Linked DNA regions of Callithrix jacchus. The protein of the gene in region 1 purifies or fractionates together with the protein of each later gene. This does not show direct contact. Links are inferred from orthologs where the notes say so. Each region holds a gene or a part of one and is shown on either strand. Other genes may lie near its edges.

What was found. The genes of interacting proteins can lie anywhere in the genome.
Region 2: the proteins of SFN (region 1) and GAN purify together in Homo sapiens (affinity purification with mass spectrometry; 3 studies listed by BioGRID and IntAct, with this or other methods). This does not show direct contact. The link is inferred for Callithrix jacchus from reciprocal best matches to the Homo sapiens genes SFN and GAN.

Annotation. Positions count from the first base shown.
Region 1 is NC_133508.1:63,511,621-63,514,972, forward strand, and holds SFN (14-3-3 protein sigma), read left to right. Parts: upstream 1-1,517; 5' UTR 1,518-1,580; coding exon 1,581-2,327; 3' UTR 2,328-2,830; downstream 2,831-3,352. UniProt on the Homo sapiens protein: Adapter protein implicated in the regulation of a large spectrum of both general and specialized signaling pathways. Binds to a large number of partners, usually by recognition of a phosphoserine or phosphothreonine motif.
Region 2 is NC_133521.1:38,906,663-38,910,315, forward strand, and holds part of GAN (gigaxonin), read left to right. Parts: intron 1-2,292; coding exon 2,293-2,643; intron 2,644-3,653. UniProt on the Homo sapiens protein: Probable cytoskeletal component that directly or indirectly plays an important role in neurofilament architecture.

The DNA.
Region 1 (3,352 bases):
CTTTGGGAGGCTGAGGCAGGCAGATTGCCTGAGGTCAGAAATCTGTGACCAGTCTGGCCAACCTGGTGGAACCCTGCCTTTACTAAAAATACAAAAAATTAGCTGGGCATGGTGGTGTGCCTGTAATCCCAGCTCCTCGGGAGGCTGGGGCAGAAGAATTGCTTGAACTGGGAGGGGTGGAGGTTGCAGGGAGCCAAGATTTTGCCACCGCACTCCAGCCTGGGCGACAGAGCGAGACTCCTTCTCAAAAAAAAAGAGAAGGAACAGGGAAACTTCTGAGACAGGCTGGGGGAGGCATCACGTAGCTGGGATTGCTGCCCCATAAAACAGAATGATATGTGTCACTGCCACCTACCTTCCTCAGTCCTCTCCCTCCCCAGGTTGCTAGCGTCCCCCCTGGGGGATCAAACTGGACTGCTTCCCAGCCTCAGACAAGAGGGCAGTCTGAGTCAGGCAGGAAAGTGGGACAGCTGGGGAGCTGGACCCCACCCTCTGGAAGCCCCGCTGGTACCTGATGGCATATGGCTTGGAGAGGGCAGGTGACCTGGCATGGAGGGCCAGAGGGTAAGTCCTCAAACAAGTGGCAACAGGCCACCAACTTGAAAGGGAAAATTGTGTAGTGATGGGAAATGTGTTCAACAAACCTACTGGGTGACTAATTACAAAGGCTGGGCTGGAGCGTCAGAGGCTGCTTGTTAAACACTTTATTAAGTGGCACTCCGAAAGCTGCCACCTGTGCATTCTGGGAGCTCAGAGGGGACCCATCTGGGGGATGGAACTGTCTTCAGGTAGACTGAGGAAGCAGCCTGGATCTCATTTCCAAACACAGCCTGGAGCTCATAGGTCAGAGGCCTCATGGGAGAAAATCTAAAGGAGGTAGGGTGCAGAAAAGAGTTTCAGGGAATTGGTGGCTATGTGACTTTGAGCAAATCTCACCCCTCTCTGAAACTTAGTGTACCCATCTCTATGGTCCTGTGTATGTCACAGAGACATGGAGGGGATTAAAGTTGATCATGAATATAAAAGTGCTTGAGAAACTGTATAGCCCTACCTATACATGAATTATTCTCCCCTGAACCAAGCGGGGGAAGTTACCTCTCCGGATTAGGAACCCCATCCTCCTGAACCTTTATGAGCTCTATCAAGGCTGAAGCAGCCAGGGGCTAAAGCCATCCTTAGCCCCTGGAAGGGCACTGTGAAAGAGGATCTGATATGAGAAGCCAGGCAGCTTCCTGATGTGGGCAGTCATGTAATGCCAGTCCTGAACAAGAGGGGGCAGCGTGGAGCCCAGAAAGGCACCTGTGCAGGTGGGGCCAACGCCCAGATTTCTCCTGCTGACTGTCCTGATGACTCACTCCCACATCCCAACCCTTTTACCTTTCATGCAGAGCCGGAAAGGGTGTGGGGAGGAGAGGAGAGGGAGGCAGGTCTTGGGCCCTGGTCCTGCCCCCTGCTCCTCCCCACCCTTCTCAGGGCCTGGCCACCCAGCCAAAAGGCAGGCCGAAAGCAGGAGAGGCACAGAGTCCGGGATTGGTCCCAGGCAGCAGTTACCCGCCGCCCTCCTGTCTGTTCCCAGAGCCATGGAGAGAGCCAGTCTGATCCAGAAGGCCAAGCTGGCAGAGCAGGCCGAACGCTATGAGGACATGGCAGCCTTCATGAAGGGCGCCGTGGAGAAGGGCGAGGAGCTCTCCTGCGAAGAGCGAAACCTGCTCTCTGTGGCCTACAAGAACGTGGTGGGTGGCCAGAGGGCTGCCTGGAGGGTCCTGTCCAGCATTGAGCAGAAAAGCAATGAGGAGGGCTCGGAGGAGAAGGGCCCCGAGGTGCATGAGTACCGAGAGAAGGTGGAGACTGAGCTCCGGGGCGTGTGCGACACTGTGCTGGGCCTGCTGGACAGACACCTCATCCAGGAGTCTGGGGACGCCGAGAGCCGGGTCTTCTACCTGAAGATGAAGGGCGACTACTACCGCTACCTGGCTGAGGTGGCCACCGGTGACGACAAGAAGCGCATCATTGACTCGGCCCGGTCAGCCTACCAGGAGGCCATGGACATCAGCAAGAAGGAGATGCCGCCCACCAACCCCATCCGCCTGGGCCTGGCCCTGAACTTTTCCGTCTTCCACTACGAGATCGCCAACAGCCCCGAGGAGGCCATCTCGCTGGCCAAGACCACCTTCGACGAGGCCATGGCTGATCTGCACACCCTCAGCGAGGACTCCTACAAAGACAGCACCCTCATCATGCAGCTGCTGCGAGACAACCTGACCCTGTGGACGGCTGACAACGCCGGGGAAGAGGGGGGCGAGGCGCCCCAGGAGCCCCAGAGCTGAGTGTTGCCCGCCACCAGCCGGCCCTGCCCTGCCCCCTCCAGTACCCCACCCTGCCAAGAGGACTAGTATGGGGTGAGAGGCCCCACCCTTCTCCCCCAGGCGCTGTTCTTGCTCCAAAAGGTTCCATGGAAAGGGACTGGCAGAGCCGAGGCCACCTGGGGCTGGGGATCCCACTCTTCTCGCAGCTGTTGAGCACACCTAATCACTGGTCATGCCCCACCCCTGCTCTCTGCACCCGCTTCCTGCCGACCCCACGACCAGGCTACTTCTCCCCGATCTTGCCTCCCTCCTGCCCCTGCTGCCTGATGTTAGGAATTGAGGAGTAAGTGTCCCGCCTTGTGCCTGAGAACTGCACAGTGGTAGGGGCTAGAGATTGTGTGTGTGTGTGTGTGTGTGTGTGTGTGTGTGTGCGTGCGCTTGCCAGTGCAAGATCGAGATTGAGGGAAAGCATGTCGGCTGGGTGTGATCATGTTTCCTCTCAATAAAGTTCCCCTGTAACACTCCTCCTGTCTCTTCCAGTTCTTGGCGATGGGCTGGGAGTGGGACTGGAATCTGATTTAGAGACCCTGAACTTGGACCTGAGTTAGGACCCTGACCTCCCTGGGTGCTCAGTGACCCGCACGCAAGACTTTGAGTCCAGGTGAGGCCGGGGTCCAGCTCTGTCCTTCAGGGAGGCCCCACACTGGACGGGCCCGGAAGGGGCCGGTGAACCCACAGGAGGCGCCAAGGCTCCTCTGCCGGGCTGAGGGGAGGTGAGTGGGAGCCGCGAGGTTGACGAGCTCAGGTGGGGCGGGGCAGGAAACAGTGAAGTCTCCGGCGTGAGATCTAAGGACAGCGCCGCAGTAGCGAGCGGCACTGAGCACCCGATTTGCAAGCAGGTCACAGTCTCATCACGGGCTCCGATCTCAGCGGAGGGGAATACCATCTGAGTGAGGCAGAGGTATAGCGCAACCCTAAAACCCCAGATCTCAGGAGAGAGTCGTGTCCCACAGAGTTCGGAGATGCAGACAAAAGGAAACCGACTG
Region 2 (3,653 bases), on another chromosome or scaffold:
GTGTGCTTTGAGTGGCATCTCCTACTGGTAATGGCACCCTACGTGTGTTCTTCCATGGCTCTGCTCCTAAAAGAGAAGCAGATAAAGTAAGGTCTTACATGCAAATCCCAGTTTATTGTTACCATTCTGAGCTCCACCTTCTCGTATGAGATACTAAAGAACATGGGACGCTGCCCTGACTGCTGTCTTTTTGGATTTTGCTTTGGAATCCCGATCCAGTCTTGCTTTGTAACCGCACAAGTGGGGATACAAAACTTGTTTTTTTCTCCATAGCATGCAAATAGGAAATGCTGGGGGGCATTGTGGATTGTTTGGTCGAAATAGAGAGTTCCTTGTAGATCATTGCCAGAGAAAGAGGAGTGACACAAATGACAAGCACCTTATTCACGATGCCCTGGTCCTGTTGCCTCAGTACCCATGTCCCTGCCCTACCCCACCCCCACTCTCTCTTTCTGATATCCCTTTCCTCTCCACATCCACTTGAACTTCTAGAGACTTTGTGATATCCAGGGAGGAAAATGATAAGTGATTAGACTTCTTTCCCTCTGCCCTCCTCCGACACCCCATTCCCCATGATGTGATTTCAAGCATAGCAAGAGGACTCAAGAAAAATCTTCCATATGAATCAGGACTAGCTTTTTTTAAACAGAAGGAAGAGGTCAGTGCATCTTACCTTTGGCTGTGTGAGAATGCATTTCATCTTTATTCTTTCTGAGATCTTGGTCCCTACTCTGTCCTTTATTCCTTCTTCATCCCTCTTGTTTTCCCTTTCCTTTCTGTAGGGGCGGTTTCTTCTACATATTTGCTGAGTGTTCTGAATGTATTGCTTTCTTGGTCTAAATATATTCATTTTGTCTAGAGTTAACTCAGTGATTCTCATCCTTTTTGAAGTTTTTGGTTTGATTTCATGCTTTCTATCTGATCTCAACACTAGGGGGTGGGTGTGTACATGTAAGATTCTTAAAAATAAATGAATTTAAATTAATCTGGGGACAGACTTAAAATACTGGAGATACTTCATAGCATCACAAAACCAGACATAAGACGAATCTCTGATCTAACTTATAAGGTCAATCCAGCAGCAGTTATTAGTATAACAAATGATAAGCCAGAAAGAGCCTATTCGTGTTCAGGCTTGGATTTGAAACTTGAAATCTTATTTACAGATTGACTTCTGTGATTTGTTCCCAATTTAAATTTGCAACGATAGTTGCAGCGTAAGTTATAACAAACTCCTGAATTGGCAGTTTTGTTTTATTGAAATGCGATTGAGTGTTTTTTCACGTGCCTGTATTTGAAGAGTCTACAGCTGCCTGCTGTCTTGTGGCTAAATGTAATGTCATATAAATGGAACATTTTCCCCTCCTGTAGCTCACTCAACATACTACTTTCCACATTTTTGTTGCTCAGTTTCTAGGATGATTGGCAATTACACTTTTTTTAAAAATCTGGTACAAAAAATGTAAACTGTAAAAATGTTTCTTGCTGTACTCTTCATGAAGTCTCCCTTGCATTTGCTAATGTGGGTGAAGTACCCATGCTTTAGGGGAGTCCACTTGGGATTGTGGCAGAATTAGAGAGACCGGTTTCTTTCCTGATGCTTGGGAAAACTGTGAAGTGGGTGGCGAAAGAAGCATTAGTCAGAAAATTGAAGAAAATTAAGGAAAAGTAGATGTTCATAATGAGGAAAAAAACCCTTGTAGTAGGTATTTATTCTAAACGTAGTTTTGAGAACTAAATGTATTTATCTGTGAACCAAACTGCACTGTGTACGGTTGGGGTGCAGAATGAGTCTTTTGAATCACTGTAAACCCCTGTCCTTCAAGGGGTTGGCATTCAGGTTGGCATTTCAGTTAGCAGAAGGGTTTTCTTCATAGATTGGGAGGCGAGATTTTCATCAGTTCTGATGTTGGTACTTAATCACCTTGATTATACAAAAGCAGGCAGAGCTTTCCATTTCCCAGGCATTTCAGTCATTAAGGTTCTTCTCTGAGTTACAGAAGTGAGCAACGTGGACAGGTCACCCTAGAAGGGTTAGTGGTGGTTGACATTGGTACAGCAAGGGCAGAGCTGGGAAAAGTTAACTAAGCACACATTGGCTTAGGTTGATGCCCTTCAACTCTTGGGGGAGAAAAAAATGCTGGGTTAAACCATATGAAATTGCCAATATTCTATCATCTTTGATCTAAAATACATGGACATTTCATGTGGCCCAAACTCAAAAATAAGATTAGTGGTTTGGGTTTTAAATGTACACATTCAAATATAAAATAATTATGCTACTTTTTTTAGATCAGGCTAAATGAAGAAACAATCCAAGATGTTGTTCAGGCAGCAGACCTGCTACTCCTGACAGACCTTAAAACCCTGTGCTGTGAGTTTTTGGAAGGTTGCATTGCCGCTGAGAACTGCATCGGTATCCGTGACTTTGCACTACATTACTGTCTGCATCACGTTCATTACCTTGCCACAGAATACCTGGAGACTCATTTCCGAGACGTCAGCAGCACAGAAGAATTCTTAGAACTGAGTCCTCAAAAGCTTAAAGAAGTGATTTCTCTTGAGAAGTTAAACGTTGGCAATGAAAGATATGTCTTTGAAGCAGTAATTCGATGGATAGCACATGATACAGAAATAAGAAAGGTACCTGTCATTTATAACACGGTCCGGTTTGCCTTTTTCTTTCTTTTTAATTCAAATTATAATTGTTTTATTTTTCCTTTTCAACACGAAAGACTTATGGAACAGTGATCTGAAAGATACTTGTAAATGATGTTCCTGTATATCATGAAAGCAGTTGGCTTTTCAGACCAGTCTGCAAAACCCCATGCCACACAATATATCAGTGAAAACACTGACCCTTGGAAGGAGCAGAATGTCCTTTGTATGTTGTTTTTAACGGGAAAATGCATTTCAAGCTTAAGCTGGAGATTATAGAACCGCATCATCCCCACCCTTGCTGGCAGCATCCTGACCGACTGCATCACTAGGCTAGCCCCTGCCAGGCCTCAGGTGCCTGCAGCAGGCGAGGGGTGGCACGTGGAACTCTGGCAGAGAGGTGAGGGCCATGGGCCTGAGGAGCTTCGGATGTCATTGACACCTCTTGGGAGAAAGCAGGCAAGCTCTGGAGTTTGTGTGGCAGTGCAGTTTCAAGAGGGAAGGTTCTGGGAGTGACAGCCTGGGAAGAGGGCCTTAGAGAATATCAGCGTCTCAATACAAATTGTGAATACCTTGGAGAAGGGAGCAAAATCACAGACTCCAGGGTTTTGGTGGGTAGAGGGTCTCAATCTGTCTCTCAGTGGCCAAAGTGACACGATTATAGCTCACTGCAGCTCCAACCTTCCTGGCTCAAGTGATCTTCCCACCTCAGCCTCCCGAGTAGCTAGGACCACAGGTGTGTGCCACCATACCTAGCTAATCATTTGATTTTTGTCGAGACAGAGTCTTGCTGTGTTGTCCAGGCTGGTCTCAAACTCCTGGGCTCAAGCAGTCCCCCACTCCAGATTTCCAAAGTGCTGGGATTACAAGCGTGAGCCACTGTGCCCAGCCAGGACTTTATTTTTAAGTCTGATTAATATAAATAAGACACTAGCTTCAATTACTGTTTTCAAAATGAGAAATATATTAGGGTTAGAGAGTGGCTCTCAAAATGT